Linked DNA regions of Lytechinus pictus. The main gene of each other region encodes a partner of the protein of the gene in region 4 in a complex. Links are inferred from orthologs where the notes say so. Each region holds a gene or a part of one and is shown on either strand. Other genes may lie near its edges.

Region 1 (7,932 bases), on a different chromosome or scaffold from region 4:
GGTATCTGCGTGAGGAGGGGGGGGGGGGGGCGGAGCAAAATATGAAATATGGTTTTGTGTATGTTGTGTGTACCTCGTTGTTCTATGTTGTGCTTATAAATACTCTATTATTTTCTTTCTTCTTATGTTTCTTTGTTTTTGATGATGATCCTTCAATGTCAGGATTTTATATCAATAAGCTTAAATTTGAAAAATTTGAATTTGTATGACTGTGTAAGTTTTTTTGTTCAAAGGCTGCAGTAGAGGCGGGTCCAACATATACCTGCATGAAGGGGGAGGAGTAAAAAAAACGGACCCCCCTAAATTTTCTGTTGATAACCATTTTTTTTTTTTGCTTGTCAATTTTTTTCCTTGGGTCCCCCCTAGATTCAGGTGGACCCCCCCTAACATTTTTGTGGCTCCCTAAAATTTTGGTTGATAACCTTTTTTTTTTTTCAGGTGGACCCCCCAAAAAAAAATATTTTGGCTTCCGCCACCAATGAAAGGGGGGAGGCTACACGTGTAAAAGCAGAATTTATTTACATTAAAATTTTTGATAATGGCTCTCAAGGAGTGGGTAGTATGTGCCCCCCCCCCCTTTGGATCCTCCACTGGTCATGTACAGGGCATGCATTTAAATTGGGTGGGGGGGTGTACATGTAACTAACCTCTGGTGTCAAGGGGGCAGCCAGCCCGTGCCCCTCCCCCCCCCCCTTGAGAGGCACAATTAAAATTTGTATATGTAAAAATGCTATTAAAACTTAAAACACAAGTGTGCCCTCCCCCCCTTTGAAAGTGAGGACTTTTATTTGGTTGTCAGATTTTTTGTAGAAGAAATGTACTTCATTTTTGGTTGAAAACATTTCTTCTTTTTTTGGTCAAATTTTTCCTCGGGAAAATGTGCCCCCCCCACCCTTGGAAAATCCTAGATCCACCCGTGTCAATACTATGTTTGAAAAGAGGTATACCCCTTCCATCCCTGATGTAACCCATTTGCTGAAAAAAAATATATACTGTATTTGAAGAGGGGGCTAACATACCCCCTTTGTCTCCTTTGGCTTAACACCTGATGAGTGCACATGTACATGCACACACACACGCCACGTGTAGATTACGTGTTCTACTGGCGCCATGACCACTGCACTTATGGGCAGCCAAAAGGGCCAAAATTAACAATCTCAAAAATAAAGAAACTCTCGGAAATAAATGTAGTATCTCAGAAATATATTATTCAGAAATTAATACATTACTTTGGACGACTAGTACATAAGTCAGAAATAAATGTATTTAACCAGAAATGGATATAATTGAGAAATAAAAGACAACTCCGAAATAAATCTTGTCAGTCATAGATAAAGATTTAGAATTATAGGACACATTCAGAAAAAAATATTGTAATTGAAATAGCAGTATATTTTACAAATAAATGTCATCGTTCAGATAAAGATGACCTCGCAAATAAAACAATGTCAAAAATAAGAAAACTCTAGAAGTAAAGATAACTACAGAAATAAAGACAACTGCAGAATCATGTTTTCACGGAATAAAAACAATTCTTGGAAATAAACACAATCACAGTTTTGCGGGGATATAACAAAAATAATTCATTTCTGAGAGAGTCTGAGAGGCTGCATTTATTTCTGAAAGACTGGGATACTACATTTATTTCTGAGAGTTTCTTAATTTTTGAGATTGTTAATTTTGGCCCTTTTGGCTGCCCATATGCACTAGCTAGCGACACAGTCACAGAGCTCGATCGCGATAGGCGATCCGTGCGGTCCATTTATTTCAATTCACCTCATCATTGCACAAGTTCAATGCGACATTTCTTATTCATTAGGGGTACGAATTGTTATTCATATCAAACAATTTCAAAAGGGTCATTATTAATGCCAGTTCATCCTCGCTCAAACTCAAGAAAAATTACGACTCATTAGTCCGACATCACCTTGCGTTTAAGATTTGAGGGCGATATGCGACACATTTGTGAAGTCGGAAAATTACCATCGCCCGAAGAAAAAACCTTCCATAGTTCATACTTTAATTGGCGTCAAGAAAACGTCGCCTGAGAAATAAAAGATAAATAAAGGCCGAACAAAAATTGAAAATACTCATGAATTATGTAAACAAAAAATCACTTTAAAAAACACAATTTTGCTTACCCGTTTCGTATTTCCAGCATCAAAACAACTTTTCGAACTCGAAATCATGTTCGCAAAGAAAGAAATTTGATGTTTCATCGAATGGCGATGAAATGAGAGAGAAAATAAAACCTGGAAGTCAAATCTCACGAAACTCGATATTTTCAAGATGGCAACTCTTTCGGGGATGTACGAGTGTCGAGTGACAAGATCGTCTCTGTAAAATGGATTATTAATTATGGACCTCAAAGTACACGATGTAAGTTTTAAAATCAAATGTAATAATTTTGTATGGCACAATAATATGATTTTCCCGTGCATGTCTTTTTTATTTTATAAAAAGTTTGATTGTATTTGTAGAAATTGTTAATATTGATCTCGCCAATTTAACACTGCACTACACGGTGTCGGTGACAGATACGAGAATAGTGTCACGAGTGTGAGTGCATGAGGCAAGCCAAGCCCCACTCACACGTATTGCGAGGTTAGTATTACTATTAGTAGTATACTAACACAACACACAACTTCTATGGCTTAATTTTTCCGTGCGCGGCGGCATGTAATGATGTACACTTGGGTGGCCAAGCCCAAGAAACTTAGACGTGGTTTCTTTTATTTACAAACAGCAATTGTAATGAATGGGACTGTTGTGTAAGATAATCGGAATATCGTCATGCGTCACTCCAGTCTTACAGCGGGATCTCTGCCTTGCAGAAAGGGGTATAAACTTAAACGTAGGCAAAAATTACAGGAGGAATCAATGGGCTTACCTTTAGAATACTTTCAGACTGAAAGCTGACAATAAAGACTAATAAAAGTGACTCCAAATAACAAATCTCGCCTCCTCCGATATTATCCGTACCGACAAAACCGTGTCGCCGAAAGGTCAAAATGGAAAAAGAAAGAAGAACGGAAAAAAAAAACCAAACATCAGCGGCGGATCCAGGATTTGAATGAAAAAGAGGTATTTCATTTGAAACATATTACTTTGACTATCCGTAGGCCTACGACAAGATTTCTTTGCTTTTGTTTTTTAACCAAAATGCATATATCATTATGTGCCACCATTGGCAAGTGATGCAAAATAACTCTTTTCATCATAAGTGTTATATTCTTTGATGGGAAAGCATTTTATGCACATGCGGACTTCTCTCCCTCTGTTCTCTTTATCTCCATTCTCTCTCTTGACCAACCCCCTCCATTCTCTCTTATATCTGCCTCTCTTGCGCATCGAGTGAGTTTCTATAGTCTAAAATCATGATAACACATAAATGTAGGTATTACATTCCTTTCTTAATCATTACAGGTTTTTATTCGTTCTTTTTTTGTGGAAATTGAATGAATATTCACTCATTTATATATTTTAAATGCAAGCAAAATCAAAGGCAGCTAGATTTTATTTTCAAATGTCATGTGTTAAAAGCCTTAAAATATAATTTCAAAATAATATTTTCATTAAAAAAAAGTGTGCTGTGTTCAAGCAAACTCAGATTTTACTTGCAATGGCAAGTCGCAGCAGCTGTTACGAATGTTGTACTTCTTGGATTGGACACTAATGGAACTAGTATATCTGTTGCCTCAGCTCCCCAACTTCATTTCTTGCATGAGCTTCATGTTAAACGTTCTCTGTTGGTGAACAACAACTAGACAGTCTGGTGATACACTTTATTCCAATCTCCTCCTGAGCCTTGCTCTTTTGTTTCTATATGTATTTATCAAACCACTTTTTCTGCGTATCCACTGGATCTCGCAGTTCTCCAGGACTGGAGGAAATCAACAGAAGAAGAAGAAGAAGGTTAATTTCTTCTTGACAAACTCACACATTAAAAATCTTTTGTTGTCCTGTTCTTGTTATATAGCTTAATGGTTTCCACACTAAGCAAAAGATAAAGCTTGCAAGATATACAGCGTGTCCCACAAAAATATTAATGACACTTTAAATGAGTATAATGTGAAAATTACAAAGTCATATTTGTATATAATTCTACAATCGTAAATTGGCATTTGTTATATGCAACTGGCTTAAATTTTATGTGATATGATCCATCGAACACAGAGATATGAGCCTTCTTTCAGAAAAGTATGTAGTCCAATCATATCTTCATTCACTCTGTTTTTTATAGATATTTGGGGCAGAACTTCCGGGCCTATATTTATTTTTTAATGGAGGTTTGAGAAACTTGGCACGATATCTTTTATCAAACATGAAAATTGATTGATTGATTATAGGCCTAAAAGAAAAAACAACAAATTTTGTAATCCATGATCTTATCTTGATCTCATCTATTCATTAGAAGGGATGAATGAATAGGTCATCACAAAGTCTTGAACAAAAGAATATCCTTGCAGATTCACACCCGTGGCTGAACGTGAATAGACATAATTTGAACCACAAAAATCTTGTTAGCTGAAACTTACTACTTGATATAAAACTTGGATGAAGAGGTTTCCTGATGTTTAATGAATAAATGCTCATATATTTGTGATCATTGGACCATATCACAAAAACAGGGGCCGTGGAACGGTTTTCAAAGTGAGGGGGGGGGGGGGGGGGGCTGACCATACAAAAAATCACAATCAGCTTCCGCGGCCCCTGAAAAAAAATCATCCACTTTTGGGAAATGAATTGTAGTTTAGAGGTGTAAAGATATAAACAATATAATGTTGTAATTTTAAAATTATACCCATCTAGAGTGACATTAACATTTTTAGGGGAACATGCTGTATTGTGAAAAATCACAATAAAATATATTCTCAATGAGATGCTTGGTTTTAAAGCAAACACTTCTCTTTGTTTGGTTGTAGTCAATTCACAAGCACCATGCATGTTTGTTGTCAAATCCATATAAATTAACATTCAATATGGAAGTTCATTTTTTTGACATATTGAATACATTTATTAAAAAATTGAACAGACATGTGGACAAATATCACAAATAATAAATATGGAAATACTTCAATATATGGAAATAAATATGTGAATAAATCTATAAAATATTTGATGTACAAGACTTATAGCACATAATACAAAAATAAATAATTTAGGTTAATTCTTTCAATAACACAGATCCCCATCTATAATATAGGAATTACAAGAGTGATTTGTATAAAGAATCCTAGCCGGTCACGCTCACAAATTGCGCCCCAATTGTGATATCATGCTTTCACGTTAGCTCGCGATAGCTCAGTCCGTAGAGCGGGGTTCGGTGACCGGGGTTCGATTCCCAATTGGTGTGCTAGTACTCTTTGGTAAGGCATCAATCCCCATTACCAGGTCCCTCAGAGAGGACCTTACGTCATCGGTCCTCTGGTTTTTGCTTACAAGCATTGATGCTTTCTCAGCAATCAGGTAACAATCACTACCATTACCATTTATCCTGACAAAAAGGTTTATTGTAAAAATCTAAACAATAATAAAAAAATATTGTTGAAGATTTGAGGGAAATCCATCAGTGATCTTAAAGTTATTTGAATTTCAATTATTTTATATTTGTGACGTCATATGCGAGCAGCTTCCCAAGTATCATGAATTTAAAAAATCAATGAAATTTCATTTTCTCAAAAATTGAAAATGTTTTTTATTGTACAGGTCTTCAGTATATCAACAGACAAATTATATTACACCTGCTCCCAAAAGAACAAAGTTATTCATTATGAACCATTAAAACATTGAAATTTATGCATTTTATATTACATAACATATAGGGGGCAGCTGCTTGTATATATGACGTCACAAATCAAAAACTTAAAATTCTAATAACTTTCTTAATATTTATTGAATTTTCCTCAAAACTTCACCACTATCTTTTATCCCTTTTTCTGCAATTTTTTGCAGGTTTTTGTCAGGGTGAACTTCTCCTTTCATCCTGATCGCCATGCATTAATCATCAGGCTCATTTTGTTACAGATTTCCTGTGATCTCACTTGTAGGTATATTGATATTCCTTAGTCTACCTCATGCTTAGGAGCCATCATTTAGTTGAATATTTCTGAATAATTTTCAATTCTCACAAACATTGCTTGATATACATGTCAGGCAAAAAAAAAAAAGAAGCCTAATTTTGCGGCATTTGATAAGTTTTAACATTGCAATGAATGGGGATTTTCGAGAGCCTTTTATAGTTTCTAAGTTTCTTTTGATCATTTTGGGGGCTGTATTGCCCTAAGCCTCTGTATATTTTTCCTCTGATACATGAAAGGCAACTAGTCAATACAGGGAAAATAAGTAGATTGAACAAGGTCCCTCATTATGTTGGTGGCACATATATTTATAAAACACATAAATTGTTTGAATACAGGTGTAGTGTAAAATTGTCTTAATGCCATCCACAAGCTGGGTTACTTTTATACACTGTACCTTTATATTGATCACATAAGCCTAAGGTGTAGTGTAAAGGTGATTAATGCCATCCACAAGCTGGGTTTACACTAATTAGTTTACACCGCACCTTTAGATTGATCACATAAACCAAAGGTGTAGTGTAAAGGTGATTAATGCCATCCACAAGCTGGGTTTACACTAAGTAGTTTACACCGCACCTTTAGATTGATCACATAAACCGAAGGTGTAGTGTAAAGGTGATTAATGCCATCCACAAGCTGGGTTTACACTAAGTAGTTTACACCGCACCTTTAGATTGATCACATAAACCTAAGGTGTAGTGTCAAGGTGATTAATGCCATCCACAAGCTGAGTTTACACTAATTAGTTTACACCGCACCTTTAGATTAATCACATAAACCTAAGGTGTAGTGTAAAGGTGATTAATGCCATCCACAAGCTGAGTTTACACTAGGAAGTTTACACAACACCTTTAGATTGATCACATAAACCTAAGGTGTAGTGTAAAGGTGATTAATGCCATCCACAAGCTGGGTTTACACTAAGTAGTTTACACCGCACCTTTAGATTGATCACATAAACCTAAGGTGTAGTGTAAAGGTGATTAATGCCATCCACAAGCTGAGTTTACACTAGGAAGTTTACACAACACCTTTAGATTGATCCCAGAAACCTGTTACATGATGAACCTATTCTGAAACCCTGTTGTCCTATTACAGTTACAATTGATTCACTTACACCTTTAGTTTCCCCATTCATACCATGCCTCAAATGTCATTATTTTTTAAACAAAGCCACATTACTAGAGGGAACATTCTATATTACAGAACAAATAAGAAAATTATGATGGACAGAATTAATCTCCAAGGACATAGATAGGGTCAATCAGACAAGGGCATCCTTGACCATGACCTCAATGACCTTTAGAATAAATTATGACAAGAAAAAAAAAATTGTCCACTCAAATGACATAAGGCAAGATAATGTAATACCATACTATCTACAAGAAAACAGCAAGAAATCATTTGATTAATTGCTTGGTACTGCAGAATTGGAAGCATTAAAAACAAACATACTGAAGCTTTCCAGCATGCACTCATTAGAGTAAAACCACATGAATGAATAGAACGCCAGAACCAAACAATATAGAAAAAAAATTATTTGAAGCTCAAAGGCAAAAAATGTGAAAGAAGAAAATCACAGAGAACAAGACAGGCTGAAACAAAGTGGAGAGGGGAGAGAGAGAAAGTACTGCATTCAATAACATCAATGAATATTATATTTTTAAAATGTTATATTGTTATCAGCCTACATGTATCTTTGTCATGTTGCGTTTTTAGCATTAAACCATTTAAAGCCAATGAGCAGCTAATTGAGTAAAATCCCACTCCATAGAACTATTTTGTTAACCACAATAGCAGGGTAGGTTTGAGAGAGATAGAGAAAGAGAGATCCATAAAAACAGAGGGT
Region 2 (7,687 bases), on a different chromosome or scaffold from region 4:
TGATGGCATTAATTAGATGTTATCACTGACTTAGCCTATTGTCCAGAAGGGTACAGCTTTAGTGTGTGTTGTCGGGATTGACTGCTTGCATGTGAAATAAGTTTGACATGTTGAATCGAGATCGATTCGAGGCACATGTGTCATATCAAATTACGGGCGCATTACTCGAGTTGGTATACATATGTAGAGTATCTGCACCAGTGTGCGGCCGCTTAAGGGTTTTTTTCCACCCTGCAACTATTTTGCACAAGCTATTTTAATCCATACATATCATATTAACAGGACTGATGGTTATTCCCTTTGTTATGAAAACTGGCCGATGGCAATTGCGGTGGTCAAGATTGACCACGACTTCGGACCAGCCATAGCTTTCTCCAAGGTACAGCCACTGTACCAAGAATGCTTTAAAATCCGTGTTCATCGGATGTAAATGGTTACATAACATCTTTACACAAACATATTTAGCATAAATACATCCTCACCTTTTGCATTATTTTAGGGTTGGATGAAGTTTTATCGATAAATTTGGGGCTTTTTGGACATCATTCTGAGCAGTCAACATCTTTTGCCTATCTGCCATTTTGATTTCGTGCTGTACATCTTCGAACGTAGAGGGCAGCAACAAAAGGCCGTGTGCTGCCTTCTATATTAGGCCCGTTTTGGGTACACATGTACACGCCCGGTCAAGTCAGTGCATGTGTACTGAATTCCATCACCGTGTACATCTGTATAAAACTTGCGTGGGAGTTGTAAACAAGTGAACAATTACTTAATTGAACACAATTCTATTACCATGCTGACAGCCTCACATTGATTCCAAGTTCTCAGACGCTGCACAAGTATTAATAACTAAAATTCCACTTTCATACCCACCCTTGAGGTTCTGTATTTGCGCTAGAATTTCACTCACAGTTTTTTATGAATGAAATCTGTCTTGGGCCCACCTGGGGCGTGGGCGTTCACGAAGTTTACATACGATGCAGTGACGTTATGATTGATAAAACAAGCTATGTGCTTTTTGCCGCGCCTTAATAGCTATTACTCGATTTCTATTTCCCTAAAATGAAACCATGTATAATTATGATGCCTATTCACCATTAATTTGAAGTTTATTTTGATCCTAATTCGAGTCTCACTCGTCTTTTCGTGCCGAGATAATTTGTGCGATGAATTCATGAATGGAATTTATAGTCATCGATCGCACATGCGCATTGTGCTTTAATCAAACCAGATCTAAATTGTTCTGAAAGGAAAATCAACGCCGGGATCAACGTAAAATAAATCTTGCGTTCATTAACAATATTTCTTATCATGACCATAGAACATTATTCAATCTTAATATTTTAACAATAATTTGCGAATGATAATCATTAATATGAATTTAGAGTTTGATGTAATTCAATTCAATTTGTATTACGTTTCCATTTTTAATGACGGACATCACGAATTCCGTAACGAGTGATGGGTGCACTTGTCTAAATAAAATTATATCATGTCAGGATTGATTTTCAAACATCGTCGTTGCAGAAACTCTTCTCACGATCGTAATATCATTATAGAATACAATTTTACATGACATAGCAGAGTAAGTTATTCATGAATGAAAAATTATGTTATCAATCGCGCATGCGCGATGTACTTCTTTATCTCGGAGACGTCCGGAGTACTTCCATATTCCAACTTAACATAACTTTGCTGACATTACCAATATTTTTAGTATGGCCTTAAAATTTTATTAAATCGTAATAATTTAACAATAATTTACATCATCATTCATATAAATTTAGAGCTCAATTTGAGACATTTGTATTTATTTCAGTCGAGTCAGTGGTCTGCAATTATCCCGAGTCTAAAAAGGATTATCAAAAATGTCATCAGGAGACTTTCAGGATGTTGCAACATTTTAATCAAAAACGATCGTTGATCATTTTACACTTGGTCAACACAATGAAAGTCTCACTCAAATGTATTGCGAAGTTATACTAACCTCGCACCATGAACCGCGTTTGGCAGTGGATTCCTAACTAGTGGGTCGCGCGTACTTTAAAAAATCATTAAAATATCACTTTTGAGACCAAAATTACTAATTTCCATACAGTTGCAATTTATTTTTCATTAGTAACTGGGGAATAATTTTTGTATTCACTAGAGCGCTCAAAAACTTGAATTTCGGGCATATTTTTGTGTACGCCCTCTATTGGTAGAAAGTAATATGGCAAGAAAATTTTATTTTTTTAATCTCTATTTTTAATTAAGAAAAAAATAATTTAAAGAATCAAATTTAATAAGAGAACCAAGTTGTATGACGAATAGGTGTAGGCCCTAATGGAAACTGTCAGTGTAAAAAAATCAAGCATTTGTCCCAAAGAAAAAGAGAAAATAAGCCAAACATTGCCACCCTTATTTTGCCACACATGGAGATATAACTGAGAACAAGGTTATATCATAACCTTGTTCATTGAATGAGTGACTTGGATAAAAAAAAACTTGCATCGGCCTATAAATATCATGATTTGCATGGATCGTACAAAATCCAACAAAATGAACAAACCTTGCAGCCTACGGGACATACGATAAAGTATAATTGTTAACTTCATTACCGTTACCAACCTCCCAAAGTAACAATATGAAATACTTTGATCCTGAAATATATATAGAAATATCATGGATCGTACAGTGAGTACTACTACTAGTGACTAGTACAAAATCCAACATTGTTGGCAACAAAAGTACAAAACCCAACAAATTTTGCAGCATACGGGACATACAATAAAATATAACTTGTTAACTTCATTACCGTTACCGACCTCCCAAAGTAACAATACGAAATACTTTTACCCTGAAATATAGAAATACATCTTACATAAATAAATGCGCAAAAGATTATAGTAAATAGTGCACTATCATTGTGACAAAACGAAAAACAAACCTCTGAATTGGAAGCAGCAGCGCTTGAAGATTCAGCCATTATTGTAAAAATGACGATAGAGGGCGTGTGTAACTGCAACACACACAGAGATACGATATGAAGAGTTTGGTTGCAAAAGAGGTTTGGATCATTCCGAGAAAAACAAGTTTTTTATTCTCACTTATTTTAATATTCTTATGAGAAACTAAATTATCATAATGTACTACCCTTTCATATGAATATAAAATTTGGTATAAAAGAAATCTACCTGTCCCCAATTTTTTTTCTATATATTAAAAAAAAAAAAAAATTGTGGACCTAACCCCTTTTGCAAGCAAACTGAAATGAATCCAATCTCTTTTGATTAAAAGTGATTTTGCATTGACACTTTTTATTCACGTTTTTTATTTAAATTTCAAATTTTCTTTAGTATCATCAGATCGACTTAAAATTTAGAGGTTTTGAGACAGAAAATAATAAAATTTATATTAAAAAAAAAATGGACCTAACCCCTTTTGAAAAATGAGCTCTTCAGAAAAGTTTGGTTGCAAAAGGGGTTAGGTCCACTCCAACTAAAAAATCATTTTTTAATTCTCCCATATTGCAATATTGTTCGGCGAAACTTAATTTCATGATACCCTACCATGAGAACATAAAATTGGGTATGAAAGAAATCTACCTGTCTTCACATTTTTAAAAATATTTTTTTTTCCAAAAAAAATCTCTGTGGACCTAACCCCTTTTGCAACCAAACTAAAATGGACCTAACCCCTTTTGAAAAAAGGTGATTTTTATTGGCCATTTTATTTCAGTTCTTAATGGGAATTTCAACTTTCCTTTGGTATGATCTTATAGAGCTACTAAAAATCTATATATACATTGAGACAAAAAAAAAAAAAAAAGAAAAGAAAAGGAAAAAAAATCAAATTTGATGAAAAATTGACCTAACCCCTTATGCAAGTGAGCTCTTCATATATAGGGCCTTGCTGCAACATAGGTCTGCATCATATGTTTGTTCTGTTTTTGTGTATGTTTAATGTATAAAATCTTTATTCAGATTGTTGTACACTTTCCAAGTATCAACGTAGGCACTTATTTTTTTGTATTGTCTTGCAAAATATAGAGGTATAAATATATATATTTTATTATGGGATAGCCTATATAATTCACATCTCTATAAACAAATTATTTTATATACGGTATCAATTTTATTATCTGCTCAGAACTTGAAAAGTCTTTCTGTTTGGATTTTTTCATCATACAATACCGCATTATTATACAGTAAATACAAGAGAAATGAACTTTTTTTTGTAAGTATTATGGGTTATGATAATCTTTGTTAAAAATGTATATCACAATGTATAATATTTCATTTGTTCTATTGCTGTATACATGTACTTCACTTCATTTTGTAAATTTAATTTATGAAAATGAAATGAAATATGTATGAAAAATGTGATATTATCTGAATAAAGGCTAAAAAGCATTGAAATGGTCATTGAGGTGACGTGGATAATCCACCTGTATGGTCTGCATCAGTGTCTCCTCAGATCTAAAACATTTTCCCCACAACTGAATCCCAAATTCCCCAAAAATTCAGAAATATTTTTTGGTAGTTTCAAGTTTGATTTTTAACAAAAATCGGGCAATAATACAGCCAGCCTATATTCAGTCCAAGTGACCAAAATCAAAGGATATAACATTAATTGTTCAACAAAATCGACGAAATGCGAGCGCGGAGCGCGAGCGGAAAATTTTGGGCTTCGTATCGAGGTAAACAATTCTTTGATAACATAAATATTAAAAGTTTCGCCATTTAATTGTTGTGTAATTGTAATTTTCGGATTACACGGAATTACCTAGAATTTTTTACTTACCCGAAACTTACCTGAATGATGATCCGGATTACTGAACCGGAATTTGGGTAATTTCCTTAGTGGAAAGACTGGTCTGTATGCAAGCTGTAAGCGCGCGGGGGATTAGTCAGGTGGAAAAAAAAAGAAAACCTGACTGAAAAGAGACTGCAGCTCTCCGTCTATATCTCGGTCTGCCTTGGCCATGGCCCCAAGGATTTGAAGCCTCGAAATCCTAAGGCATTTTTAAGGCATTTTCAAGGCATATATAAGAGTTTAGCATATACTCAGTTTTAAAAACATTTTTTTGGTGAAGACGATAATATGCTTATAAAAAGTTACAGCATCCCTTGCCCCATCAAAAGACCTTTGAACTAGTAAAGAACTAACAGTAATGTTTTTATAATTTTAACATGAAAAATATATCACATTAAACACAAATAATGAGAATGGGAGTTGAAACTTTTGAGTATACATATTTAATTTATTTCCATTTTTAAACCTATTACGATTCGTCGCTCACTAAACAAAAACGCAAATGCGAAGCTTAAACTGATTTCGATAGAATAAATCTGGAAAAAGAGAAGCACTTTTTTTTATAATCGTGCCCACATTATTATGCCACAAACATACAGGCAAATCTGCCCCCAAAAGATATTTTAATGATTATATAATAATTCGCGAATGGCATATCATAAGATAGGACTGTCTCAATATTCCCAAAGTAAAAGATAAAAATGCAAACACATCATTTCGCATTGATGGCTTGAATACGTACATTGTGAAGGCGTAACTGCTTTGGGTATATTTTCAAACATTTTCCCAGTTTTAGAATACCGAGTTCAACAACTTCTAAAGTTCAAGGTCAGTATTTGCTCTTTTTCAATAGAACAGCAATGGAGAGACATCTATTAAATATATATTACCCTGATTACAAGATAAAAGTTCATCCAAATGTTTGCGAAGTCCTTTGAACTGTACATTTATTTCTTTAATGGCCCATTAATTTGGAACAACCACAGTTATACATGGCCCTGGGAATCGGGCGAGTAATAATATGAACTTCGTCATTTCTCTACTAGATTGAGGTAGATTTAATTCATGTATGTTTCCCCTTTTTTTGTTTTCATTCTTGTTTTTTTTTGCAAGTGTTGTTTCCTGCCATAAACATGTAATTTCATCTTTGGCCGATGTATGATCAGTGAAGGTGGCATTCCGTATAGTCACCCAACCCAAGTTGGCGAAGTAGATCATGAAAACATAATCACTTTACTAAAATCTGGATATTGATACAATGTATTGTATTGAATGAGGATTCTTCAATGAACGATGCAAACAGAAAAAGATTCACCGTCCCGTACGTCATAATACGCAGAATTCTGGCCAATTACTGAGATACACCTCGCCCAAAATTAAAGCTTGTCCCAACAAAGTTTTATACTTCCCAGATGAATATTTTTGTTTCAACCAGTGATCAGTGATCTGATCTGCCAGGCAGGCCAATATATTGAGTTCTTCACATGATATTAGCTAAACATATCTAACTTATACCTTTATACTATTATACTTACTTATATCATTATACTTATAAGAGCATTGGCCTCATAATCGCAGGACTGTGAGTTCGAATCCCCACTCTGCCATTGTCTCTACATTGATAAAAAGGCCCGAGAGTGATATCTGTCGTCTATAACATCAGCCACTATGACTGATTAACCTAGACGCAAAATGTTTCCTATGTAATTGGTTATATACCCCTACCAAAAATAGTAGGAGGGACACAATATCAAATGTCCCCCTGCCTTTTTTTATGATGGAGAAAAATAACATCATTCACAAACGAAATAATAGGCCTACGTGTATTCTCTACTAAAATGACCTTACATTTTGGGCGGAACTTTTTTTTTTTTTTTTGCTTGACATTTTTTTTGGGGGTTAAAACGACCTTACAATTTGGGTGATAACCTTTTTTTTGCTTGTCAAACTTTCCAGCCCCTGCCCCCCCTACCTTGGGGACAGATTTCCGCCCATGGAAGACATTGCAATTTTCCGATAGCTTGAGGTTTTAAACCGATTGCTTATTATTATGCACACACCCATGTACTTGTAAATCTTTACCAAATGGCTCTTTGCCAAACTGTCCCATAAGCGTGTTTTATGATTTATTTAATTACAAAGCAGTCTTTTGAAAATTTATTTTCATTTATTACAGTAATCATGTTTGCTTTTTTATAGTTATCACATTTCAGCACCTAATCAATTGATGTATCCATAAGGCATCACAACACCAATAAATCATTTGGTTCGCGTATCATTAAGTTTATTTTATGATTACTGTTCTGCACAGAGCATTCTAAATGGTTTATGATTTGTATTAGTCGGGCCTTTTTGGTCCTTCGCCCCCAAAGAGAGCTTAACTCCAAGAACCTGTATCGCTTGTTATTATGCCCGGGGTCCCGGGTGCATAATCATAATAATGATACCCTTTTATCACCCTTTTATGGAGCGTTGTGGCCCAGTGGATTAGTCTCCGGACTTTGAAACAGAGGGTCGTGGGTTCAAATCCCAGCCATGGCGTAATTTCCTTCAGCAAGAAACTGATACACAATGTGCTGCACTCAACCCAGGTGAGGTAAATGGGTACCGGTAGGAAGTAATTCCTTTAAAAGCTGTGTGCGCTATGAACTAGCTTAGCCGGGTAATATAGGAGCGCCTTGAGCACCTAACAAGGTGGATATGTGCGCAATATAAATACCCTATATTATTATTATTATTATTATCAAACTGAAGGAATTAAACTGTCATTTTTTAAAATGGTAATTCGATCTTGCTGGGACGCATACTGTAGACATATTTTGGTAAAGATTTATTGAATATGAACGTTAAAAAGGGTAGCAGAAAAAAGTTATTATTAAACATTTTCTAC
Region 3 (7,406 bases), on a different chromosome or scaffold from region 4:
CGTGGTCTTAAAATCCAAGATGGCGGATTGGCAAAAGCCGTTGACTGATGATAACGATGTCCAAAACCCCCAAATTATCGATGAAATATCATTTCACCGTGAAATAATGCTAATAATATGAAAGGTGAGGATGTATACATGCAAAATGGGTGTGTAAAAATATTTTATGCACCCGCATAGATCCGATTAGAACGGATTTTATTGTGTTGTTGGTACAGTAGCAGATACTAATTTTGACCAGTGCGAGTGTGCGTGTTGTGATTTTGCTATTCAATGTGTAAACGGAATTGTCAGTTTTCCGTGTGTACAAAGTCTATGGGGAAACGGAATTTCCGTTTTCTGACATGCTGAAACGGAATTTGAGATTTTCTGAAACGGAAAAGGCAATTTTTTGAAACGGAAAATCACTGTCCCTATACATCCTCACCTTTCACATTATTAGCATTATTTTACGGTTGAATGAAATGAAATCGATAATTTTGGGGTTTTTTTGACATCGTTTTGAGCAGTCAACGACTTCAGCCTATCCGCCATTTTGGATATCAAGACTGGACTATGTGTGTGTGTGTGTGGACTATCGTTCTGTGTGTGGACTATCGTACTGTTACATCTTCAAACGTAGAGGGCAGCAACACACCGCGTTGTTCAATCAAACGTTGTGTGTATATGAATGTTTTCGATACGGCCTACCCCGCCGCCGTGGCGCGGGCGAGGGGTATGATCTAGTGTGATGGAGTCAAGAGCAGTCACGATGTGTGGATTGTCATACTTAGTAGTGAAGTGAGTTCGTTTTTTGTGAGGTTTTGTGGCCATTTAATATTCATATTTTGTTGAGATTTTTGAGTAATTTCTGTTGCTGTTCTGTGTATTCTGAGGTAAATATGTTTTCTGTGATTTTCCGTTTGAAATGCCACTTTCCGTTTCAAAAGGCCAATTCTGTGAATTCCGTCCATTTTCCGCGATCGCGGAATATCACTGTCCCTATAAGTGAGAGAAAAAATCTGCATCACTGACTTGCATCAGTAGAGGCGCACAGCCAATATGGGAGACTGTCTCCTATTAGAGAGATATCAGAGACTTTTGTGAAGAATTTGGGTATCCAATTTCAGAGACAGTCTCCAGTTTGGGAGACCAATTTCCTTTGTTTACATTTGCTGCAAAAGGATTAGCTTGGCGGCAAATAAAAATGTGATAGATTCCTCATGAAAAATTACCCCTTTTCACCATCTACTTTAAATAAACACCATCTATTTTTGTTTTGATAAGGATTTTTGTTGCCATCCACAAACAAAACAAATGGGCTTCTGACCTCAGTGAGACAATATTTTGGGTGGAAAAAATACCTTTTTTTTTTTTTTTTCTTTTATTCTTTTGCAAAGCAAGTCTCCAATATGGGAGACAATCTCCTATTTTGGAGCTTCCCATATTGGCCTTGCGCCTCTACTGAGCATAGCCTAGGCATGATATGCATTAGACCAAAAGCTTCGGCCTCTGTTATGTTGGTTGTTCCGCTGAACTCCGTTGGCTCAACTCACCAATTACAGAGACCGAAGTTCTAACTCGATCTGTACAGGGACTCAATGGCCATATATATGTTTATGTATTAAGTTCGGATCAACCAGGGAAGTGGGAGTTGCGCGACAGCCGAAGTAAGTCACTGTTTTTTCCCCTTTTAAGTTATTTTTTCCTGTTTTGGTGCATTTAAGGCCAACACAGAATAATAATCTTTATTTTGGTCCAGTTCTTTTTATATATTCTCATGAAATAAAGACAAAAATCGATGAGCCCCGTCAGGGTGTTTTGCATTGTTAACCCCCTAATGGTGGCTGCACGATAGCGAGCCGTCTGTGTACGAGGAGAAATAAAAAAAAAGTTAAAAAACTCCTCAAAACAGACGGCCGGCTGCCAGCTGTCTAACGTTAGATAGGCATAGCTAGCGGCTTTGCATAATATCCATTTTGGCTTTGTCCATGCACTAACACAAAATAATAATCCATTGGACAATTCATAATTTTGAAAAGTGGATGCCATTCAACTCTCATTTAAGTCTAAAAGAGCAGCCAGTAGAGGCGCCGGTCCAAAAATTGGGATTGTCCCAGAAAACAAGGATATCCACATAAACCAAGACAAATCATGTATTGATATAACCCAGAGAGCTACCGCCCGCGCAGCCCAGAAGCTTACCGTGTATTTTACCATTGTCACCGGACTAGGGTGATTTATGGTCTAAATATTTCTCCAAATGAATTGTGAAAACAGAAAGTATACAATTACCACGATTATATGGATGAAGGTCTAACGAGTGGCAGATTCCTGACATCTGGGCACAGTCTGGAACCTCAAAATAACGAAAAGTTCTCTCCTTCTACCCCGTCTCGATCGGCCATTTTTGTTAAAAATCGTAACAAAATGGCCGATCGAGACTGGGTAGAAGGAGAGAACTTTTGGTTTTTTTGAGGTTCCAGACTGTGCTCAGATGTCAGGAATCTGCCACTCGCTAGACCTTCATCCATATAATCGTGGTAATTGTACACTTTTTGTTTTCACAATTAATTTGGAGAAATATTTAGACCATAAATCACCCTTGTTCGGTGGCAATGGTAGAATACACTGTGAGCTTCTGGGCTCCCGCCCGCTGCGCGGGCGGGAGCTCTCTGGGTTAGCAAAAAAGGTGCCAGAGCTCAGAGCTCGAGCACCGCTGCGATCGATGAGCCACGCCGCAGCACCGGCGGGCAGCAGCAACCTAGCTCCGTACCGTAAGATTCCCCAGCTGTCACTGCAGTCTGCAGTCTCTCACACATACACTCGCTCACCATCATTTATTAGCCTTAGGTCTACTTACTTTACAAATGCTAAAGTTAATTATGGAGCACATAAGGCATGCAAGTAATTAATTAGAACATTATTACCTCATATTATCGAAAAAGATATCCTTTCTAAGTCTACATTTGCCTCTTTTTTCCGTCCCGTCTGAAAAAAAAAGCTTCAATAACGGTCTCGACCGCAGAGGGAGCTTGTTTGATGAGAAGCATGGCTGTCGCAGGAGCTAAAGAACATCTTGTTGTTTTTCACCAAAGTATTCAATCTATATTTGACGGATGGACAGGTTTACAGGTGAATACAGAAATCTAAATTTATATAAGCGAAAAATCCATTTAGGAGATTTTTTACATCGATGAAAAAAGCCTAGATCTGTTCATTATAATCTTACTCCAACTCTGTTTGCTTAAAAATTTGTTAAGCCCCATAAATTGTAATCCGTGTTTGTTAAACATAACTTAATGTAAAAGTCAAAGTTTCTCAGTCACAAGTCAATGAAGAAAATGCCTACCACTTTCCCCAATTATCGCGGTCGGGGACGGCTGTTTGTCGGCTCCAATCTTGATGTTAATTCTCAGACACGGCTTTGCCGTAAAAGGTGCGATCAAAAGATTTACTTGGGGCAGGTCACCCATTAGACAGGAATAACCGTCGTTTCTGGGGATTTATTCAACAATTTCTGACATTTTACTGTAATCCCCATTTACCGACGGTAGGGTGTACGTGTGGGCTCGCATGTGTTCTCATTCCCTCCCTTTTGTCAATTCACAGTCCAAAGTTTGATGTAATTTTACACATCGAATTTACAATCTAAGGATGTATAAACAACAAACTTTTAAAATTTAATATTTTAATATTTAAATACTTTAAACGATATAGATGAAAAAGGCATGAAAAATATACTTTACCGATGTTTAATTGGGTTGAACACGATAAAAATGGTCAAAATGGCAGCCAAACTATAAAATATTTACAAACGAACGTCAACAATCACGAATGTGATATCGATATTGCTTTCGATATTATACGATCTGCTCCATATGCGATCGAAACCGAAGATAAACGATACTAGTTATACTAGTACTAGTACTAGTTATAATCGCGATATATCGATTCGAGACATTAAGTTAATAACGATAATGACGTCATTCAAGATGGCAACTTGCAAGAAAAACCGTCAGGTCAGGTGAAAATGTCTTAGATGACAGATTTCTCAATCATCCAGAGGATTTTTTTCAATAACTCCGGCCCAAGGTATGCAATTACTTAATTTATTTATATTTCCCTGATAATGGAAACCATGAAACTTTCAATTTTGCTTAAAAAACAGTTTTAAATCGCGATCTATAAAACGCTAGTTCACTATACGTTGGCTGTAGGTACGGGGCCCCATCCCCTTCAGTCTATGTATGGTGAGTGGAGCCAACGTAGTTCAGCGGAACAACCAAAATACAGAGACTGAAGCTTTTGGTCTAGTCACCCATTTACTTTTGACCTTGAAATGTGACTGAGAGACTAAAGGGGTGTTGCAAGAAAATGTTTGCAATCGCAAATATTCTGTTGCAATTTTACAATTATTTGATCACTATGAATTGTAGCAAATCAGATTACACTACTTGTTTCAAGGAGCAGATAGAAAATCAAGCGCAAATTTACAATTAATTGCATGGCATATGCTTGATTGCGGGAACGAAAATAGACTTGGGAATTGATCGCAAGTTTCTTGCAACGCACCAATAGCCTATTTACGAACAATTTCTGGTGCGAAATTTGCTCGAAGCTGGCTGCTGGTGCGAAAGCAGCGAAACTGCATCAGCGCTGTTAATTTGTTTCAAACTTGTGGACTGCTACTGCAGGGCTCCACACTAACCCTTTTTTTCTACTGGTCCAACCTATTCATGTCGGACCAGTAGATACCCAGTTTTTCCATTTTTTACTGGTCCGAACCTAAAATCTACTGGTCCCCAAAATAAAGAAAACATTAAAAAAAGGCGTGAGTTTATTTTGCTGTCCTTTCTTGTTACCCCCCCCCCAAAAAAAAAAATGAAGGAATGAAAGACAAAAAGAAAGCAAGACAAAAAGAAACAAAGGAAGAAATAATAAAAGAAAGGAAGGAAGAACAAATAAAAGGTAAAGAAAGGATAGATGTGAAGGAAGGAAAAAAGAAAGAAAGAAAGAAAGAACAAAAGAAAAAAAGGAAAGAAAGAAAAAACAAAAGACAGAAAGTAATGAAAAAGGAAAGAAGCAATAAAATAAGAAAGAAAGGGTATAAGGAAAGATGGAAAGAAGGAAAAAAGATAGAAAGAAAGAAAGAAAGAAAGAAAGAAAGGAAGAAAAAGGGTAAAGAAAGGATACATGTAAATGTGAAGGAAGGAAAAAAAGAAAGAACTGAAGAGGGAAAGGAAGGAAGGAAAGAAAGAACAAAAATAAAGAAAGAACAAAAGAAAAAGAAGAAATAAAGGAATGAAGGAAAGAAAGAAAGAAGGAAAGAAATGAAGCAAGCAATATAGAAAGAAAGAACAAAAGACAGAAAGAAGGAAAGAAGCAATAAAAAAAAGAAAGAAAGGGTAAAAGGAGAGATGGAAAGAAGGAAAAAAGAAAGAAAGTATTGAAAGAAGGAAGAAATAAAGAAAGGTAAAGTGATAGATAGAAGGAAAGAAGGAAGGAAGCAAGCAAGCAATAGAAAAAAGAAAGAAAATGTAAAATAGATCAAAGTAAGAAAAAAAAGAAAGACCGAAAGACAAAGAAAGGAAGGAATGAGGGAAAAAAGAACGAAAGAAGAAAGGAAAGGAAGCAAACAGTAAAAAAAAAAAAAAGGTAAAAGGATAGATGGAATGAAGGGAAAAAAGAAAGAACAGAAAGGAAGGAATGAATGAAAGAAAGAGAGAAAGGGCTGAAAGAAGGAAGAAATAAAAAACAAGAAATGGTAAAGAAAGGATGGATGGAATGAAGAAAGAAACAAAGAATGAAGGAAAGAAAGGGTAAAAAGAAGGAAAGGAAGAAAGAAAGAAGAGATAAATATAGGATGGATGGACTCAAGAATAAAAGAAAGAAAGAAATAAAAAAAGAAAGAGAAAAAGAAATAGAGAAAAATGTTAAAAGGACAGAAAGAATGAAAGAACGAAAGACAAAGAATAATTAAAAAAGAAAGACAGTAACAAAAAAAATTAAAGAAGAGAGGGAAGAAACAAAGAAAGATTGAAAAGAAAGAAGGAAAGAAAGATAGAAAGAAAACATGGGAAGAAAGCTAAAACTATCATAAATAAATTATCAGTTTCTTTTTGGCTCAATTAAGATATAGCTACGAAAGAAACCAAGTGTATCAACACACACACAAATGCATATGTGGGGCTATCATGTATTCAGACGATATCACTCGAAACCCGATCTCTTTGAACTAAAACAGAAGTGAAAATTTCTCCTTTTACTGCTTACAAATGACAGTTACCCCAATTTTTTGGAAATATGGACATTATAAGAGCTTTTCATTAGTGTGAAATGTGAATTTTGACCGTTCTGTGAGAGATTTCTGCCAGAGGTTTGCCAAGCTTCGCCAAGCTTCGTTCGTGCAGCCAGTAGAAAATTCACCATGTGGGCTGTGTGGCTGGCTAGCCATATGTACACTGTATGTTACCCTAGTAAAAATTGCATGCGATTCATTCTGTGTGTATTCTGTGTGTGAATGACCAAATTTAACGGGAGGAAAATGGTTTGCAATTTGAGTCATGGAATATTTTTTATGTTTATGTTGGACTAGTGAATTTGACCATTTCTGGAAAAGTTACTGGCCCAACAATGGTTTTTATTACTGTTTATGTCGGACCCATAAATCTTGCTATTTTGGGAAAAATTACCGGCCCGACAATGATATTTTCTTACTGGTCTTGTCGGACCAGTAAATCTTGCTATTTCTGAAAATCTACCGGCCCGACAGTGATTTTTACCGGTCTGGGACCGTCGGACTGGCGCTAGTGTCGAGCCCTGGCTACTGTGTGCGTTAATTTTTATCTGTAATATTAAATAATAGCTCTCATTTGCCTGTATAGCTACCCAAACACTCGAGAAATAACTAATTTCACTCAAAAAAGTTCATAACTAAGAGGTAATGAAAATAAAATCGCTAGACAATTCAACCCGCCGACAGCCTTGTTGCCGTCATTGTGTGCATTTTTGTGTTACCCCAAGTGCCAACTTTCTATGAATGCACCACCCAGTATATGTGCTATTATCGCCTATGAGGCCAATACTGTTATGTTTTTACCTCATGGTACGACGTGTACAATTTGTAGCATTCTAGGAAGTCCATCAATAGGCCAAGACCAAGTTGGAATTTAGTAATAGCAGAAAAATGTGACATAAATTAATGATCATTACAAATGTTCTTCCTTTCTTGTATTCAAGCTGGCTGCAAGGCACGGTTTCGGTGGTCGTGATAGTTTGGAGAAAGCAAGATGGATGGTAGATGCAGTATACAATTGGTTTTTAGAAAATGGTTAGTATGAAAAAAGAAAATTTCATTAACATTTTCTTTTCCCCATGAAGATAATCCCATTGCAGCAAATGCAAACTAAGAAAATTGGTCTCCC
Region 4 (7,005 bases):
AATAGAGTAACCTGTCAAGAATTTGACAGGTTAAGTTTTTTTTTGGCACTATTTTTTTACTCTAAAATTTCATACAAATTTGCATCAATATAGGCCCATTTGCCTCTATTTCATGGCAATGTTTATTTTGACCAATCTCAATTTTCCATAAATTTTTTTAATGAATCACCACGTTTTGCGGCCACAATTCAACAGCCCCCACCCTCTGTTCGACAAAACGCATCATGTGTGCAAGTGCCACCGAATTGCGCTGCACGTACCTCATGCGATATGCAACCCAAAAGTTGCAGCGGCCATTCACTCCCACACAACAATTGGACCCCATGTCGAATGGATGATTGCCATTATAGCATGCAGTCAACTCGATTACTGTGCAATCTCAACGTGGTTGGCTAGGCCCACAGCTGCAAATTGTATAGAACAGATAGCGTAGCGTTCACAGGGCCTGACCTTTACTTTTTTCTTAGGGAGCCAGCCGGGCTCCTCAAGCACTTTTTTAGGGAGCCCGCATGGGTTTTAAGGAGCCCAAGTTTATCCCTTTTTTTTGCATAATACTGGTCATTACCTATTAAAATATTAAAGCACACCATCACGATACCAGTTGTATTTATTCAGGGTAAATCAGATTTTGACACCCCAACACACTTAGACACCGGTCACAAACACATAAGTCAATGACTTTTTTTTTTCATTTTTAATGCCCCCCCCCCCTCAAAAAAAAATAATAAATTCAAAAAAGGAAACAAATTAAATACATAAACAAAATTGATTTTTTTTTTTCATGCTGAATCATGGATGTGGGTTGGTGTGTGTTTGTGTGGGTGTGACTGTGCGGTGGACTTGGATATACATGTATATGTTAAAGAAATTAATTCATCATCTAATTTTTACTCCAAATATTGTGTTTATATCAGTACAAAAACCACACAGGCTAAGTATGTCACATGTAGGCACATGTTACATGTACATGCATGTATACCCTAACTTTTCCTGCAGTTCTTTGAAAACGCAGATCTCCACGAAAATTGCATTTTTCTATAGGGGAGTCTAAATTTGGTGAAAAAGTATTCATCAATAACTTAAATATATATCACAATGAAGAAACCATCCAACTTTATTGGTAGTTTAAAAAAAAAAACCTGAAATGTAAACTCTATCTGAAACAGAAAATCACCATCATTGAGGCCTTTACTGACTGAATTGTCCCCCAGAGCTCAGGCAGAGAGAGAGAGCTCCGACTTGCACAAGTGTCAGTGCGTGCGTGAGTAAAATCCGGCGTCCTCCTAAAATCAGATGTTGCCATGTTTGATGATTTACTGTCTGATATTTACCCCCTCCCTTGAAAAAATGAAACAAATGATTTTTCAGGAATAATTCACTACCGAGGTAAGTTATTTTGGATGTTAATAGGCGCCCTTTTGACAAGCAGAGCCGATGTCTACATGACACAGAATCGTGATATCTCTAAGGGAAATGTGTGCATTGAAAATTACACACGGCGTAAATGATAATGGACCCCTGTACATGCAACTGTTTCTCGCACCGGTGTAGCACGATTCTTTTTTCCATAGGTACCATGTGTGTGGAAAAACGTGGTACAGAAAAAAAGACGCAGCTAAGCAATTTGAAACTCGCTATTTTCGCTATTTTCAAGGTTTTTTATGATTTTGAAAACATAATTTAGACTTATAAAGCGTGGATTAGTGTGCTGGTAAGAAATTGCTTTTTTGGTGGCTGATACTAGAAAATCTTAGGGAGCCCACCGGGCTTTTTCAATTACTTTCTAAGGAGCCCGCAGAGGTTTTAGGGAGCCTTTTGCCACCGGGCTCCCGCTAAAATCGAGCCCTGGTTCAACGCTAGCGGGCATGTACATTTTGCTTATTACATGACGTCATCCAGCCACTGCAGAGAGCCAATTTATGAATGAAAATATAGCAAGCCTTCCATTACCCCACACAGTATTCCAAAAAGTGTGTGCAGTAAATCGACCTAGAATTTAACTTTCCTATATTTAAGATGAATATCTCGGAGGATCTACATGGATTTTCTTGCCAATACTGCACAGGTAAGCGAATTTCGATTACTTCCTGCTTTTCAGTCAAAGCTTACAAATTAGCCTCGATATGACATTGTGTTAGTTGGAGTTTGTAGTCTATCGAAACGTGCACAAAGTCACAATTGATTTCCGGGTTTCGGAGCATCTCGTGAATATGCATGAAATTGCCGAGTCTTGATAATTTTCAATCAATGCTGGAGCGATCCGATCACGAACCAAGACCAATTCCGGCGTAGACAATGTGACTAGATATCTTATCGTTATCGATACTTTCGCAGTCCGAGGCATAATTTTGGCGACCACGTAGTCATGACGTGATCTGCGCGATTGACCAATCAGCGGTCTCTGATTCGCTGTCGGGGACGGTCTATCCGTATTACACAGTCTCTGGACAATTTGCCACTGTGAGGCCCTTTTTCCTTAGTTTTTCAGTTCTTTCTTTTTTAAGTTATTTTCAAAATACAATCCTAAATTTGCGAGCTTGTAAGTGAACTTACAAGTCATTAAGTCATTCTTAACAACAGATTTTGGTCTGTTCGATTTTTAGAAATTTTTTAATCAGTGGACCCGCTTCTCAAATTTGAGCCAAGCTCTGGAAATGGCTCAGATTCTGTATTTTAAGGGAAAATTTTGACTTTTTGAAGGGTAGGCCTATTTTGGAGTTCACATCAGAAATCGATTGCACGTGGCGAGTTAGACCAAAAGCTTCGGTCTCTGTTACATGTATGTTGGCTGTTCCGCTGAACTCCGTTGGCTCCACTCACCACATACAGAGACCGGAAGTTCAACTTCTAGCTCAATCTGTACAAGGACTCAATGGCCATATGTTTATGTATTTAATAAGTTCGGATAAGACAGGGAAGTGAAGTTGCGCGACAGCTGAAATCACTGTTTTTCCCTTTTAAGTTTATTTTTCCCTGTTTTGGTGCATTTCAGGCCAAAATAGAATATTTTTTATTTTGGTAGCCTAGTTCTTTTTAAATATTATGTTTATGAAATGAAGTCAAAAATCGATGAGCCCCGTCGGAGGGATTTTGCATTGTTAACCCCCTGCTGCATGATACTTGATAGCGAGCCGTCCGTGTAGGCCCTAGGGCTAGGCCTACCCTACGAGAAAAAATAAAAATGTTGAAAAACTCCTCGACCAGTGTGCCCGTGTCATGCGCAATTGAACGTGCTGGCTTATCATGAAATGACTTTGGCTTGCATGTCGAATTCAATTTCAAAACACGTTACCATACTTACGCCGTCACGGTACCCCATCCCCCCCCCCCCCCCCCCGAAAAAAATATTTTGAATTCAAACACTCCCAGTCGAATGGTGAAAAGGGGTACCCAATCTCCCCAATTTGCAATTGATCTGACTGAAGTGAAAGAAAATACATAAGATTCTAATCTGGGCTTTATTTCACATTCGGCACATACACTCGCTCCAGTCTCTCAGGCTCAGCAAATAGCACACCTCAGCTCCACCGCGCTGTAGGCCTAGGCCTACAGTCACTCTAATTCACCACACATCACCTCGTTACGCAGATCAACACGCACCAATTTACACATATAAATAAATGTTTCGAATAAATCTCACCTTATCCCTCATCCTCTAATTATACGTATTAAAACTTCTTTTATAGGTACTGGAAGTTTGAGGTGCTGATTATCCTTCAAAAGAAGGATTTAAACAGATTTGGGAAGCACCGCAGTTGACGAGTGTCAACTGTGAGCGATGCCTAGATAAAGAGAGAGCGTATTGGTTGTAAGTTGCCGATTTAAGAAAAAGAAACACAAACAACACATCATGCGTTCGATGATAAAATCCATCAAAGAATTTTCACATAACCGATACAAATTAATTGTTTTCTTAAGGCAAATAACTTTTAAATGTATTCATGTATATCCATTTATTTCTATTCCATCCTCGAAAATTTTTTTTTTTAAATTTGTTATCAACTTATGTTACCAAAAATGGCGGAACCCATGGAAGAATTAGAGCAAGATTTACTTTGCGAAAAACCTGCTGATACCAATGCTATTGAGGGAAATGAGGAATCGACCGGTCAGCAATCGATGGATAGTCAGACCTTGTCTGCAGTTTTACAGTTCTTGAGGAAAAATAACCTGAAAGTGAGTTCCAGGGTGTCCACCTTTGCACTTGCAGAGATAAAAATCTGTGCTGCAGTGCATTGCCCGTCCCCATGCATAAATATCTGTGTGTGTGTGTGTTTGTTTAACTTTTTTTTTAACTTCAACACAAAAAAAGTTTGTCTGTCTAACTCTAAGTTACATCTGTTTAGCTAATCATTACATTAGACTTGATATGGATTGGATCAAGATATAACTATGGTGTCTGAAGCCACACTGAAAAGTGTCAGCATAAAACAGGCTGATTATTTTAGGGCAAAATACCGGTATGGCACATTTTTGGGGGGAAGTTCAGGCCACTCTAGGCGACACCCCAACTAATAAACTGGGACTCCACTCACGCGCATTTGGGCCGCCCTAGCTTAGAACTAAGCAATATTATCTAGAAATTGTTAGGCCTACATTGTAGTCATTAAATATGTTCTATTAAATAAATTGATAATGTTTAATCGGTACTCACCGGTTCTTTTGTTGCATTTTCAGACCATTTCTCACAATTCTTCGAAAATATTTGCGGCAAATTTTGTCGCCATAGACAGCTTAGCATCCATCTTTATTGATAAATGGAGCGCCCTTTACGATAGTTGTTAATGCCGCGGAGAAATCGTTAGGCATTTTGGCCTGTGTTCAAGGCGTTCTTTCTGTTTTATTTTTTATATTGAAGATTGTGCATTTGTTGAATAGCGCCGTCTACGTCAGGTATGAGATCGAGTGTATAAATAAACTCTTCCAAAATAATTATGATTGCGACCTGGCGCTGTTTAACTTCAATCTCTTTCACCTAAATTAGCGATGAATGCTAGCATTATAAAATATATATTATTAACGTCTGACGAAAAGAATAACCAACCGATCAGCTGCCGAGAACGCGAATCACGTGATCTTCATATCAGCTTCGATCGCGAGTCAGAAGAGAAGAGCAGCTGCCCAGAAAATCAGGAAAAAGCCGTGAAAATGTAAGTTCCCCTTCATTTCTTTCATTTTTTGTTGTTGCTAACGATGCATTTACACTATAAAATTATAATTTAAATAAGAGAAAGGAATATAGCTTGTACTTGTGATATAATATATAAATATCCTGTTCTCAGAGATTTCTAACCAAAAATACTACTGATGTCGCCTATGAGGTCCATACATGTAATGTTGGACCTCATTGGTACTAGGAGTGGTTCAGGCTACTATTTAGTACTAACACTCTAGGCGACACCCCAATACTTACCCGTGTTAATAAATAATAGACTGGGACTCCACTCACGCACATTTGGGCCGCCCTAGCTTGGAACTAAGCATCAATATCAATTTAAAATATATATCTACAAGTTATGTATAACCTATTTACTACTTTGATAATGTTTAATCGGTACTCACCAGTTCTTTTGATGTATTTTCTCAAGAATTTCCACGGATTTGTCCCAAATCTTGCGACAAACCACGTCGCGGTAGACAGCTGTACATTCTTTTTTATTTATAAATAGAGCGCCCCTTACGATAGTTGTTAAGAACGCGGCCAAATTGTTAGGTTTTTTGCACTGTGTCCAAGGCGTTTTTATTTTGTTTGATTTTTTATTTTTTAATAAATATTTTGTTAAATAGCGATTTTTACGTCAAATATTAAATTCATATCACAAAATATTTTTAATTGTAGAAATATATATAATATCATGCAATTATTTATTCTATATATATTTTATAATAGAATTTATAATTGTTGCGGTCTTTAAAAAAGGATAGTCGATCGATTAGGTGATGACTACTCGTATCACGTGATCTGAAAATCAGCTTCGTACCGCTTTGATCGCACTCGACGGGACCGGACTGACTGCCAAGAAAAGATTGAAAAAGGACTCAAATGTAAGTTTCCCTTTATTTTATAACATTTAAAGTATGAGAAGGATTATAGTTAATGGGCAATTTTTTAATAAATGCTAAACAAATGAGGACAAAGCTTGCATTTTTCGAGTAATAATCACTAATATCATAAAAATACTTGGGTGCAGGACTTCTAACCTGTTTTTAACGCATTGTCGCCTATGAGGTCCATACATGTTAATGTTTGGACCTCATTGGTACTAGGAGTGGCTACTAATAGAAAAATGTGATCTGAATTGATTATTAACTTGTGAAGTTGTGTTTGGCATGTATGGAAAGAGAAAATTCAGGGGCTTCTTTTGACAGTAAGGACAAGTTTATATGATCATTTTAAATAAGGATTTAGAGATATAAATTTCAAACCCTTATTTTTGTGTGTGTTGAGATTGCCATTTCTCCATGCGTTTTCTATGGGAATATGAAATTTCTGTTTTGCACAATTTTTTTCACTTTGTCGCAATTTTTCATGGTGATCTGGTTTCCAAATCTATATAAAAATCGTACCATCAGATAGAGCATAAAAAATCCTATTGGACTCTTTATGGACAAGTTTTTGGCATTAATAATAAATTTATAACAGCTCTCGGAAGCTAAAAATTTGTGTGTGTCCATTTCTTAACTACACAGTCTATGGCAGAGAAATTCTGAAAATTGACCTAATTTCATTCTTCTCTTTTGCAGCCAATAATTGGATTTTTACATTTCTGTCAGTCTGAAGGTCATTTCTCTTCAAATCCACAAAGAAAATGTGATATTTTCTTGAAATAAGAAAAATAATTTTTTTCTCCAGACACCCTAATATAACGTTGGGCTCAAGTCTCAGCTCATCTATCTTTAGTTTTCAGTTAATTGATGGCCTGGGCTGGGCTGTCAGCACTCACACTAATACGAGGTTAGGGGGGGGGCACTCAGTATATAATGCATAGTGGGTATTAGACCAAA

What was found.
Region 1: transcription initiation factor TFIID subunit 5-like (region 4) and transcription initiation factor TFIID subunit 8-like share a complex: the UniProt entries of both Homo sapiens proteins name them as parts of the TFIID basal transcription factor complex. The link is inferred for Lytechinus pictus from reciprocal best matches to the Homo sapiens genes TAF5 and TAF8.
Region 2: transcription initiation factor TFIID subunit 5-like (region 4) and transcription initiation factor TFIID subunit 13-like share a complex: the UniProt entries of both Homo sapiens proteins name them as parts of the TFIID basal transcription factor complex. The link is inferred for Lytechinus pictus from reciprocal best matches to the Homo sapiens genes TAF5 and TAF13.
Region 3: transcription initiation factor TFIID subunit 5-like (region 4) and transcription initiation factor TFIID subunit 3-like share a complex: the UniProt entries of both Homo sapiens proteins name them as parts of the TFIID basal transcription factor complex. The link is inferred for Lytechinus pictus from reciprocal best matches to the Homo sapiens genes TAF5 and TAF3.

The regions. Positions count from the first base shown.
Region 1 is NC_087250.1:981,337-989,268, reverse strand, and holds the start of transcription initiation factor TFIID subunit 8-like, read right to left. Parts: upstream 3,017-7,932; 5' UTR 2,891-3,016; intron 2,535-2,890; exon of another isoform or gene 2,142-2,534; intron 1-2,141. UniProt on the Homo sapiens protein: The TFIID basal transcription factor complex plays a major role in the initiation of RNA polymerase II (Pol II)-dependent transcription.
Region 2 is NC_087248.1:14,443,975-14,451,661, reverse strand, and holds the start of transcription initiation factor TFIID subunit 13-like, read right to left. Parts: upstream 3,008-7,687; 5' UTR 2,969-3,007; coding exon 2,930-2,968; intron 602-2,929; exon of another isoform or gene 492-601; coding exon of another isoform or gene 483-491; intron 1-482. UniProt on the Homo sapiens protein: The TFIID basal transcription factor complex plays a major role in the initiation of RNA polymerase II (Pol II)-dependent transcription.
Region 3 is NC_087247.1:8,129,416-8,136,821, reverse strand, and holds the start of transcription initiation factor TFIID subunit 3-like, read right to left. Parts: upstream 3,013-7,406; 5' UTR 2,910-3,012; intron 1-2,909. Other genes in the region: pre-rRNA-processing protein TSR2 homolog, read left to right, coding at 3,022-3,114, 7,222-7,312. UniProt on the Homo sapiens protein: The TFIID basal transcription factor complex plays a major role in the initiation of RNA polymerase II (Pol II)-dependent transcription.
Region 4 is NC_087245.1:16,414,838-16,421,842, reverse strand, and holds the start of transcription initiation factor TFIID subunit 5-like, read left to right. Parts: upstream 1-4,000; 5' UTR 4,001-4,005; coding exon 4,006-4,176; intron 4,177-7,005. UniProt on the Homo sapiens protein: The TFIID basal transcription factor complex plays a major role in the initiation of RNA polymerase II (Pol II)-dependent transcription.